Caenorhabditis elegans: one gene and its partner. The protein of the gene in region 1 purifies or fractionates together with the protein of each later gene. This does not show direct contact. Each region holds a gene or a part of one and is shown in the gene's direction. Other genes may lie near its edges. The genes, in order: let-711 and ccr-4.

Region 1 (5,063 bases):
TGTCGGCATTTGGTTAATTAAAACTTCTCAAATAAGTTGCCAAATAAAAAAAAGGTGTGCACAACTATAGTTATAATTATAATTAGAAATACAGTAGATGTTTCTGTTCGTTTTCAGGTAGCATACTGGTTTGTACTGCTTTTCTACAGAAACCAGATGTTTTGAATATTTTGAAGATAACGCTAAAAACTGGGCATTTTAAATGTTGAAATGAACAAACAAGTATAAATGAACTAACAAGTGAAATGAACTAACAAGTAAAATTGAAATGAACTAACAAGTATATTATGAGTTGTGAAACCTGAAACTAATTTCCACTCATAGTACAATAATAGCCTAGAATGGGAAATCTCGCTTTTGGAAATGAAGTTTTTTTATTTGAAATAATAGTAAAAACTATTTTGTTGATCGGTAAAAGATCAAACTGAACAATTTCCAATTTTCCATTTCTTATGCGCAACTCGCTTACGAATGTCATTTCAATCACAAACCTTGGTGGAACAAATGGAGCTGGAGTACTTGGTGGTGGGAAGACCAATGGTGGATGAGTTGGGAATGTGAATGGAGCATGAGTTGGAAGGGTAAATGGAGCCAATGTTGGATGGCTTGGAAGAGTGAATGGAGCAACTGTTGGAAGAGTTGGGAAGGTGAATGGAGCTGGTGTGACAGCAGCTTGTGGTGCTACTGGAACAGCATTTGGAAGCTGTGGCGCGGCAACTGCTGGTGGCTTCTGATCAGCGGTTTGCACAAAAAGTGGGGCTCCCTGAGCTTGAGCAGCGACACCAACTGGCTCACCACCTAGCTGAGCTGGTAGGTCAAAAATAGTGTTTTGAAAGGTGTTCTGCGCTAGAGCCACAGAGGGCAGAAGAGCTATCAGGAGCCACATCACTGGAATTTTGAAATCGAAGAAGAACTGAGATTTGAGGTTCAGCTTCTTCTTTTTCTTGCGATTCTGGAGAAAAGAATAGAAGATCTGGATGTTTTAGAGACGCAGAGAACTGGTGCGGAACGGGTTTTTAGCTTTGTCATCCGAAAATAGTATGAATAGACGAAGAGCGTCAGACATGAGATCGTTTATGTTCCATGTCCAGAACCATCAACACCGCCTCCTTCTTCACCCATCGTTTTCCCTACAACCACGATTTTTATCTTTTCTTTTCTTTTCTTTTGTAAGCAACAAGAGAGAGAAAAGAGGAAAATCCGTGCGTACGGATTGCCTTAGAAATTGAAACAGCGAGAAGTTTGACAGGGTGGTGACATCTGATGAACGATTTATGGGATTGTACTTTATTTTTTATCGAACGGGAATTAGTTGTCAGGGGAGGCATTCAAATGTGACAGTATTTCAGATAATCCACAATTCAAAGTTAAACTATTACACAGATACGAAATTTTGCCGATTCACAGTACCCTGTCTCGACACGCCCAAATATGTTTTAATTTAAAAAAAATGGAGTACTCAAAACAGAGCATATGTCATCCAAATATTATATTCCCAGATGAATAATTTTGAGAATGTGGCCACAAAAATACGGTAACCAAGAAGCAAAATTGAAATATAATAAAACGTTCACAGGAAAAATTACAATTTCTTAAAAACGGATATTTTTCAACATTTTCGAAGTACATGCGCATGTTTTTTGTATGATTGTGATTTGGTCAACTGCTATAAAGTTATAAAATTTATGGTGCACATTTTTTTTATAACTTTCGACACATTTCATGGATCGGTGCTCATTTTCTCACAGCTGCAGCTGTCGATCCTCCATTCTGCTGTACACTAAACAACACGCGCCTCGGAATTTCGGAGTGTCGTTTACAAACTAGAATTAAAACGGAACGGATCTTGGCACGGCGCCAATCTTTCAATATTTTTAACTGTTTCTTCACATAGTTTTATTTGATCTTTAAAAAATGCGCTTCACAAAAATTAGCGCGAGTTTTAAGTTTTCAAACTTTTTAATTCGTTTTTTCCTCATTTTTCGCCCCATTCGTTGTTGAAAATGCATTCAACTTCAGGGTTGGCCCCCGTTTTTCGTGTGGAGGAAAATCATATGATTCGGAATCGAGAGAATTTGGAGAGACCTATCTCCAAAAAAGGTGAGTATTTTTTAAGCTAATATAAAAATATGTAATTTGTTCTTCAAGAAACGATTTATGATTTTTTTTAATGAAGGGAAATTATTTATTGAAGCTGTTTTATAAATTTCACAATGTTGTTGAAATCTTTGAAAAATTTGCAGGCACCATCACGCTTTTGTCGAAAATGCCGATGGGATTCGTGTTGAATAGTTGCTCTTGTGCTTATATCGACAATCTTCTTGCTCATAGCAGTATTCATCGTGTGAAACCTCACTCGTTCATGATTCAGGTAGGATAATCGAATGAAAACTAAAATTTTGGGAGGAAAAAGCTATTTTTCAGCGTCTCGTAGTCATTTGTGGTCGTTCATCACCATCATTGCCAAATCATGCAGCCAATATCATTCTCTCTGCATTCAATTTCTGTCAAATCGAAGCACCGGCGAAAAAGTTTCTTGAAGAAGACGCTGCCCTTAGTCTTTTTCACACTGTAAGCGCTTTTTTTTTGGAGTTTTGAAGCTTTCTTTACATAGTGTTTATTCAAAAATATTTCGTTTCTAGATACTCTCCTATTCGACAGTTACACAAATTAATCGAAGCGGAATAGAGATTCTTGGAGCTCAACGTCTCACTTCGGCTCTCTGTGATTTGATTTATGCATACACGAAGACCATGGATGATATGGTTGCCAGCAAGACATTGACCCATTTGTGCAAGAAAGTGAGTTTTTATTTTTAAATTTTCAAAATTTCCTACTAAAGCTATCCCCTTGAAAATAATATAAACTCCATTTTCTGGGAAGTTGAAACTTTATTCAACCCAAGATAAACGTTAAAATTCGACTCGACAAAAGTAAATTTATAAGCATCTAGGTTCCAAAAATACTTTAGCCTTTCAAAAACTTTCTATAATTTTTATAATTTTCTGTTCAAGTTAGAAAAAAATTTTTAAACCATATTTAATTTATTTTTATTTTTCAAAAAGTGTATTTACCTAATTTCCATTCATAGACGGTTTTCAAAGTGATATAAAAATCTTGAATCTAAATATTTAGTTTCAAGTAATTTTTTCGATCCTTAATTCTTCCCAATTTTGCACTCTCTCCTATTTTTTCTTTTTCCCAACGTATGATTCTTCGAGTGAAAATACAAATAATCACTTCTCGCCCGTGCCGGACAATAACGACAAGACGCAGAATGCGAAAAGTGCTGTAACATTAACATTTGATCGTCGTGGTCACACACAGACAGAGAGAAAAAGAAAGAAAGACTAAGAGGAGATGGACTTTAGGAACGGACGGTCCTCTGTTAGCTTACGGGAACATTGAAAGAGAGCACGAGATTAAGAGAGACACAGATATATAAAGAAAGTTCACGGGATGAGAACTCTCTTGAGAAGGCACACACACATATACACAATATCACATTTTTCTCTCTTTCTTCAAATCTCTAGGCCTTCTGGTCAATTGTTAGAAGTCCACTGGCCAGAGACTAATCCTTTATCATTTAATTCATATATTTATTTATATTAATTTAGGCCAAGACTAGGTTACTGTAGACTAGCGCCCAGATTTTCCAGACAATACAGTTTATTTGGTCTTGTTCTTGATCTTATCTCTTATCAAGCCTTTTCTAATTTACGATGAATCCCTTTAAAAGTAGATGAATGGTGTTATATTGGCGTCATATAACTATTACACATTTATTCAAACGACGCTTTTCTTTGACAGTTTCTCTGCTACTTGTCGATCTTTTCTCCTGCCATATTACTGGTGATAAAGCAGTTTTTCTTCAGAAAAAAATTGTTAAAAATAAAAGATTACTTTTAAATTATTTTTTAATTTTGCAAAAATAAAATTCAAATGATTTATTAGGACGCGCCCACTTTTTGAAGAGTTTCCTGTTTTTCGGCATATTTAACTGGGTTTTCTTGTTTTTTTTTTAAATATTTCTAATGTGACGTCTTTTTTGAAATTACAAATGAAAAACCAAGAAGTGACATTTTATTTTATTGGAAAACTTGAAAAAAGTGGGCGTGGCATAATCAGCCATTTGATTTTTTTCGTTGCAAAATTTGAAATATCATGAAAAATTGAGAATAATTTTCAAAATTATCATTAAGACCCAACAATTAGTCTTGCATGTAAGATTATTCTCAATTTTCTAAATAAATAAAATGCTAAATTAAAAATTGAATTTTGATTCTTTTTTCAAATTAATTATTTGATACTTTTTTGCAGCTAGCCGGTTTATTCGATCCTCTGGTGGTCCTTCCGTTTATCAGCAAGCTCGCCAAGAGCCGGCGTCTTCGTCACTATCTTCAGCCTTTGTTCCTTGGTCACTGTGAATATACATCTGATACGTGGGGTACTGTACCGTTTTTTTAAATTCAATTTTTTTTACATTACAAATAATTTTGAAGGCGTCTCTCCGGAAGGTGCTGAAATATACAATCAAATTGCACGTGGCAACTTCACAACACAAACTTTGATAGAAATAGTACAGACATTTCTGGAGAAAGAAGTGAAAGAAGTTATCATCAGTTCGACTACCGATCCAATCAAACTTGTACAATATCTGATATCGGTGAGAATAATTTATTATTTTTAAACCCTTAAATTTCCAAAAACAAAAAAATTACAGTGTTCCAACCCGGACAACACTGAAATTGTTCAAGCACTGGCCTTCCTTCTCTACTCGAATACTAAACTATTACCAGCTGGAAGTGGTGGGACAATTGACATGGATGTTCAGGCGGCTGATACGATTACAACTGCCCGGCTCGGTGATACAAAGTTCACTCAACCTGTGAAGGATGCATTGCTTGATTCTGGAAGAGAGGCTCTGCTCAGGCGAATGGAGATTTACGGAGTATCGCTGTTGTCTTCTGTTGAAAATTTTGTCACCGAATTGAAACAGGCACCAATTCAGAAAAGTTGGATTTTTAAAAAATTTACTTCATAATTGAGGATTTTCAGAAATG
Region 2 (7,992 bases), on another chromosome or scaffold:
TTTATCTGAAAATAATATTTATTTCACCTGAAACATTTATGAAAATGCTCAAGAATTACCTGAAAGTGGCAAATTACCGGAAAAAAATTCGATGAATCGATACGACCATTTTGATTAATTTCCTGAATGTTCCAGCAGAAATTTTTTTTTTCAGAAAAAAATTTTTTTTTTTAAATATTTTGACACTAATTTCAAATAAAAATTGTTGGAGAACATGGGGCAGTAGGACATTTTGTAGAATTGCAAAAAAAAAGATTACCAAAAAACAAATCAGCATAATAAATATTATATTCTTTTATTCTTCATCTAAAATCTTCTTGAAAAATCCAATTTCATACCAAAAACCCATTTTTCAGTTGACAAATCTGACAATGCTCGACATATCGAACAACAAGCTCCGCTCACTTCCCACAGAACTTGGTGATATGATCAGTCTTTGTCATCTGTACCTGAACAATAATCAACTCCGTGTGCTGCCCTATGAGCTGGGAAAGCTTTTCCGGATTCAGACGCTCGGTCTGCAAGGAAATCCTTTGTCGCCGGAAATCAGCAAGATCTATCACGAGACCAACGGTGCGCAAAAGATATTGCAATTTCTACTCGATCACCTGACTAGTAAGTTTACTTTTTTACTTTTTGCTGTCAAAAAATAAGCGTTCGGTCTAGTGTTTGGAGCATAAAAACAAGATGCATCGTTCATCAAAGATTCCCGACGTCGACCTAGAATATATGATTTGAATTGACGTGCTTTTCCCTCCTGAATGTCTGACACATCTCAACTTTCACTTGTATCCCCCGAATGACGTAATAGTAGATAATTCTGCATTTCTTATAGTTTATTCACAATTCCCTCACTTGATTAGACAGAGAGGATGTTCGTTATCACTATTATCCGTGTTAGTTTGATTTCCCATGCCACAAACTACTTTCTCTTTCGGGGCATGTTTCTTCTTTCAAGTTGTGAAAGTGGTCATGAAAAAAGCATTGCCATACCAATACTTGAAGGGTGTTCGTGTTCATAATCGTAATCGAATCAGTAGAAAAAGTAACAGTGTAAACCGAGAAAATGGTGTTGAAAAATAATGCAGACAAGTTTTTAACTGGTTTCGTATATTTAAAAAATAGGTTCACAATATCATATAGTACGAAAACCAGTAGGAAACAAAATTGTAATAGGCTCGTAATAATTTATTATGCAGTACTATATGATTTTTGTGACACTACCAACGAAATGGCTCATATTTCCAAGAGAAAAAAGTGTTACCTGAAAATTAGAAGAACGAAACTAATTTTCATTAAAATGAAATAACTTACTCTAATAGTAAGTAATTCATTTTTTCATTCCGAAGAACACTTATCTCTTAAAACCTCCACGCAAATCTCGACATATCATGTTTAATGTGCCGGTGTGTCCAGCCATTCATCCAGTGTACATGAAAACGTTCTAAAAAAGAAGCGGCACACGAGTGTGAGAGATAAACCATAGAGACGCAGCAATGGTGGCGCAGTGACCACCACCGCCATACGTATACACGGTTTTTAGTTCGACGCTCGTCTGCGACTCATCGTCTCTAGCACTATTTAGCTCTTCGCTTATGATCATCTGTTCTTCTTACGTCCCCCGAGTCCTCCTCATATTCGCCTCGTTTTTTTCTACACGGCTTCTTCTTTCTCTGCCGTTCGTCGTTGCGAGGAAGGATCGAACAGTCTCCGCCCATTTCGGAAAAGTGTCTTCCCTCGTTGTATACGCCCTCCCCTTCGTGTGTTTGTGTCTCTGCAGCAGCCGGCGGCAGAAGCACATTGCATGAGTTTTAAACGGGAACAAGGCTCCGCCCTGACTAGCTTCCCATTTTGAGAGTATTCCCCCATTCTGCCTTTCACCAACGTCCTTTTCTTTTTACATCATATATTCCACCTGCTTTCCCTTTTCTTACTCCATTTCTCTTTTTTCATCCTTTAAACGTGCACCAACTCTGGCCATCCAAACTTACTATTCGAAAATGTACTGAAGTTCCCTCTGAAATATGGCCGACAGTGGAGACGGCGAATCGCCATCGAGAAGAAACTCCAGTGGAAAAAGATTTGTGAGACGAGCCAGAAGATGGGCTGAGCTGCTACAAAAACGACAAGGACGTCGAAATTGTGAGGAGAGCGAAAATCTATCAGCTCCGATAGATGCAAATTTTCAACAAGCTCATAAACATACAGCATTCAATAATCCATCGTCGCATAATCGAAATGGAATCAAGGATCAGAAGTATAGACCACCAGAGCCACCGCATGTTTATGATTATGTTGAAATGGCTGCTTTAGGAAGTGGTGTGATGGTTGTAGATGATGATCTTAATTATGAATTTCTGACACATGATGAATCCCGTCAAAAACAACATTTGGGACACACTCGAAGCTTCCCAATTACTATACTTCAATCAAGAAAACATGAGATTTCATCTGGATTATCACCAGCTTACGGATACAATACTCATCAAACTTGCCAACGAACCATATCGGATGCATACCATTATCAGGCTTATCATCAACCATCATATTCCAATCACCACACTTCTTGGTACGAGTATCAACAACCGTCAAATGCATCATTTATGAAACCGGTAGACAGTGCTCTCACACTGATAACCAATGATCTCTCTATGGCAAGTATCTCGGAAGCATCTACAACATCGCCGAGTTCGATCTCGAATAATTCTGAAGAAGATGTTTCACCACACTTTTTGAAAATGTCTTCTTCATTTCCAAAATCTTCAAGCTTCCCCTATCGAACAATGTCTGAGTCCCAATGTTTTCCATTCAATTTTCATGGTAAGTACGTGTTCATTCCCAAAGTTCAATAGGATTCAGCTAGTGAAAGTTGTATTCACTTGAGACAAATTTTACTACTATCTCACCACAATATTCATAAAGCTTAATCTTCTCTTCCTTCTGTTTCTTTTCTCCGATAGTTTTTTTCCAGATTGCTATCGTAAACATGTTCTGTTTTCACTTATCTATAGACAGTTCACTTAGATTGGCGGTTTTTTAGCTTTGACAAGCGTGACTGAAATAAAATTGTTACGAGCAATTGTGATTATAAAATATTCAGGTTGAATCTTGAGTTTGTTGGATTCCTAATTAAATTGTAAAATTTTAATCTCGAAATTTCCATCTATTCGATCTCTCTCCATATGTCTTCTACCTGAATCTCAGCTTCAGCTTCATCTTTTTCGCCGTTATCTCTGCGCATCTTTGGCATTGAAAAGTACGATCGGTCGATGGTGATTACGCCATATTTTGACGTAAGAGTGAGAGAGAAAGAGAAGCGGACGACAAAGAAGATATGGGGCGAACGTGTACGTTTATTTGTAGCATAATGGCAGGAAAAGGATGGCAATGGCAACGGTGTGTGTGTGTATGAGTGTGGACATCACGGCTTGACGGTAGTGATGGTGTGTGTATGTCTTAAGCGTTAACAAGTTTTTGTCGCCATTTTCGGACGGTGTCACATCCTTCCACATCTTCAGTGTGAATATGGTTGGCAGTTTAGAGACATTGGAAAGTCGGATTGTTTTGGTATCACTGATTGCGCGAGGACTGGCAGGAAGTGATATTAGAATGGATAAGCATTGACCAGGTGATTTGTGAGACACTGGAAGCTGTTTTCTGAGATAATTAGGAAAAATCTGATAGAAATGTTTGCAATGTTTCTTGATTTTCTCCGAAACAATAATCTAATAAATCGCAGTTTTTCTAATTACGGAGCACAGACATGTTCGAAGCATCGAAACAATGCACAAAAACGTGTTATTTACAAATGATCCTTTCACTCTCTCTTGAAGTGTGTTCTTCTCCCCCTTCGGATCACCAGCTCACCACCATCTATCCCAACAGGCAAAGAGAACACACCGTGTTTTGACGACGGTGAGAAGAGTGTTTTGGGTTGCCCTCCGGTGCACGATATGTTTACACACGGTTTCGAGCCGTCCGAGTCGATGGATGGATGAGGCCACCGGGTGGTGACGGCGCGTAGAACAAATTGGTCGTTTGAACATGGCGCTTGTGTCTGGGAATTTTTGTATGGAAAGATCAAATATAGAGCCTCTAATTTTCCACTTTGCAAAAACCTGAATATGAACAAAAAGAAACTAGTGAGGGATTTCAAATTACTGTAAAAAGTCAACTCCTCTTTTGATTATCCATATCCTCAGTTCATTTTGGATTTCCGTCGGTTTAGAAAACTGAAAATGAGAATAGAAAAAGATGAATAGGGAGAGTGCACTTGACACATTTCAATATTGGCGGCCTCTTCATCTTCAGTCCCGTTGATCGAACAATAAATTAAAATGGCACAGATGGTTATGCTGGTAATAAGTGTTTGAAAGAATTGAATAAGGGAAATCAGATAAAGAAGTTTTGAGTTCATAGTTTAGAGAAGCATTATTCATCCAAGTTTCAAGTTTCATAGAACCAATAAAAAATCACAATATGGCCGATATAATACTAGTGACCGCCCTTTTCACTTCTCCCGTATGTATCTTCGATGAATCCGCTCAACTAGTCATATTGTTTTTTTTTTGTCGCTTTCTGTGAGCGGTCATGAATAATTGCGAGTCGTTCATCGTCTTCTTCTTCTTTTTTTATATTCTTTCTCTTTTTCTACGCTTCGTTCTTTGTCACGAACGTTTACATAAAGAGACAGGGGGACGACGACATCTCTGAACGTATAATATTTGCCTCAAAAAGGAAATCGAGTGGGATTGAACACAGTAAAGCCCTAGGATGTCTAGTTAGGCCATCATAAAACGAAACGGAAATTGCCGGGGAAAATGTGAATATATTTTTGATGAAAAGGGAACTCTGTACAAACTATGAAATTTCAGTTAACACTCATCCTCCACCGGAACGAAACTGGGTAATGATCCGACATGCAGATCCGGAACGACCAATTGGTGAGTGAAAAAATATCAGAAGCATTGTTGAGCAGAAATTTCTTTGGAATTCATTTAAAAAAAAGCAGAGCAATATTTTTACTTTCTGAAAATAACCTTACTTTGAAATGAAATTCTGTAAAGTTGCTCAAAAACTGATTTATATTTGAGTCGGTTTTTGAGAAATTTGTAAAAAATTTAGAGCGATAGAGAAGTTATTATTCGAAAGTACGAATATTTCTATATAATTTTCCAAAAAGAAAAATGTGCCTCACATCTCTGATGCTGAATTTTCATTCAATTTATAATTTTTGTAGTACAATTAAATATTTAATTTTCAGCCACATTCACCGTTCTCTGCTACAATGTGCTGTGTGACAAGTACGCTACGGTCAATCAATATTCGTACTGTCCTTCCTGGGCTCTCAACTGGGAATACCGAAAAGGGCTCATCATAAAAGAGATCCGAACCTACGAAGCAGATGTGATCACGCTGCAAGAAGTTGAAACGGAACAATTCCGAACACTTTTCCAACCTGAACTCAAGCAACTTGGTTATGCTGGCATCTTTGAAGCCAAATCGCGTGCCAAGACAATGGGAGAAGAGGAACGAAAGTATGTGGATGGATGTGCAATCTTTTGGAAAGTTGACAAGTTTGATATGGACAAGCAATATCTGTTTGAATTTTCAAGTGTGGCGATGAAGAAGGCGTCTACGAGTGAGAATATGCTCAATCGTGTCATGCCAAGAGATAATATTGGATTGTGCGCTGTGCTGAAGATCAAGGAAAGCGTTTACGCTAACAGTGAGTTTTTTTTCTAAATTAAAAAAAAAACATTTGTTTTTTTTTGCAGAATTCCTGGGACGGATGCAAATTCCAATGAATGACAACGTGGTCGGAAATCCTCTTGTCGTCGCGACCGCTCATATTCATTGGGATCCTGAATTCTGTGATGTCAAATTGGTACAATCAATGATGCTTACTCATGAAGTATCAAGAGTACTCGAAGAAGTATCAAAGAAATATCAGATCACGCAACAACAAGTTCCAGTTCTCATATGTGGTGATTTCAATTCCCTTCCGGATTCTGGTGTCTTTGAATATCTTTCCAAAGGACAAATAACACGTCGTCATATGGATTTGAAGTCGTTCCGTGATGATTCTTGTCTTGAAAAGTTCACCAACTCGACGGACAAGAATGTGATCAGTCATCCCTTGAGGCTTGACTCGGCTTGTGACATTAATTCGATACCATTCACAAACTACACATTAGATTTCAAAGGAATGATTGATTACATTTTCGCAACACCACAGTCACTCGCGAGACTTGGAATACTTGGACCATTTGACCCACAGTGGGTTCAGTCGAATAAGATTCTTGGTGAGAAAATATACTTTTTTAAAAATAGTTCTCGATTTTTTGCTTGTTTAGATAAACTTAAAAACCGCCCAAATTAACGAATTTTGCAATGAGTCTTCTTTAAAAAAAAGTTTCTACGACGGTTCAAATTTTCTTTTAAAAAATGAGCTGATTTTTGCTAAAATCTCCAATTTTACTATTTTTTTATGTCACAGTGCTCCGTAATTAACTTTTATTTGATGATCATCCTTTATTGCATAGTTTAGTCGTTTGTCTCAAATTAGCGAAAACTACAGTAATTCTATAAATGACTACTGTATGTCTCGTGTCGATTTACGCTAATCATTTATTAATCTATAAAATATAAAAAGAAAACACAAAAATGGAAAAAAAAAACTAAAAATTAGAGGACAATTTAACATCGAAATTATTTTCCGACCGCTGCGACTCGAAAAAGTATCCAACATTGGAGTTTTAGCTAAAATTTGCCTTTTTCAAATATTGAAATCGACATAAAAATTGTTTAAACATTTTTTGAAAACTTTAATTTTGAAATTCGTTTATTCATGCGCATTCTGAGTATAATAATGCAAACAAATTTATCGGAAGTTCTCTTTTAAAAGTTTTCTAATTTCCTGTTTTCCAGGATTCCCTCATCCACATGTAGCATCTGATCATATTCCAATTATGGCTCAATATGCAATCATACCAACAACACATCAACGACAGCAACCACTTCAACAGGCTGGTCCTGCAGCTGGTGTAATTGGAGGAGGATTTCCATCAACACCTTCAGGAGCCCAACCATTCCTGAGGTGCTGACCCCATCATCATCTGCAATGTTCTTCAATTCGTGTACAACTGGCTCTCCCTCTCTTCCCTCACCATTCTGTCTCATACCTCAATTTGTGTGCTCTTGTATCTGCCCCACTCTCTCCCTCTCTTCATATAAAAAACTTACGTAGAGTCCTTCGTAATTACGATTGATAACTCGTTTGAATTGTGATATATTTGAATTATGTTCCATCGCCGCGCATTTTCATACTTTTCTTTTGTTCCTACGAGTTCTCCCTCTTCCCTCGATCCGACCCTTTTATTTCCCTCACTTCATTTCTTATCTGTTAGTTTTTCTTTTTCTCCTTTTGATCAGTTTTATTGAGTATATTTTGGTAGCCCCTGGGGTGTTCGATTCTTTTTATTCCACTCAAAACATTTTCATATTTTTTCCGTTTTTTCGATTGTCTTCGATTTCTTCATGGAAGAGTCTATTTTTCCATTCTATTCCATTTAGTCCCCCTCTCGTCTCTTTTTCTTCTCTTTGTAGTAGATCCCCTCTGTTTCGTGACTCGTATACTGAGGGTTTCACGGCGAAATGGTCTCGCAACGATCGGTTACGGTGTAGGTGTGCAGTGTGAGAGGAGGGAGAGAGTGTACGAGAACGTGAGGCGCAGATTACTTTCAGTTTGAAAAAAATAATGAAATCTCGTTATTTGTGCAATTCGATCTAGCTTTTTGCTCCCGACACGCTTCTTTTCATTCATGAAATGTGTTCGAAAAGAAATGTCGGAAGCGATCAGATCGAACATGCAAGATTACTGAGATTGAATTTTTTGTATCGAATTTTTAAAAAAACTCGATGAGTTTTCCAGAAGCCGGAGGTATACGAGATGCGCGCGATGCTCGCTGGTCGAGTTTCTCTACCTGACCT

The links.
Region 2: the proteins of let-711 (region 1) and ccr-4 purify together in Caenorhabditis elegans (affinity purification with western blotting, with the first as the bait; one study listed by BioGRID). This does not show direct contact.

Annotation. Positions count from the first base shown.
Region 1 is NC_003281.10:6,944,762-6,949,824, forward strand, and holds the start of let-711 (CCR4-NOT transcription complex subunit let-711), read left to right. Parts: upstream 1-1,956; 5' UTR 1,957-2,003; coding exon 2,004-2,100; intron 2,101-2,243; coding exon 2,244-2,371; intron 2,372-2,424; coding exon 2,425-2,571; intron 2,572-2,642; coding exon 2,643-2,801; intron 2,802-4,320; coding exon 4,321-4,447; intron 4,448-4,502; coding exon 4,503-4,666; intron 4,667-4,723; coding exon 4,724-5,015; intron 5,016-5,058; coding exon 5,059-5,063. Other genes in the region: abu-13 (Activated in Blocked Unfolded protein response), read right to left, coding at 492-886. UniProt on the Caenorhabditis elegans protein: Scaffolding component of the CCR4-NOT complex which is one of the major cellular mRNA deadenylases and is linked to various cellular processes including bulk mRNA degradation, miRNA-mediated repression, translational repression during translational initiation and general transcription regulation.
Region 2 is NC_003282.8:12,363,521-12,371,512, forward strand, and holds the start of ccr-4 (poly(A)-specific ribonuclease), read left to right. Parts: upstream 1-1,753; 5' UTR 1,754-2,024; coding exon 2,025-2,820; intron 2,821-4,874; coding exon 4,875-4,943; intron 4,944-5,263; coding exon 5,264-5,728; intron 5,729-5,777; coding exon 5,778-6,305; intron 6,306-6,930; coding exon 6,931-7,106; 3' UTR 7,107-7,992.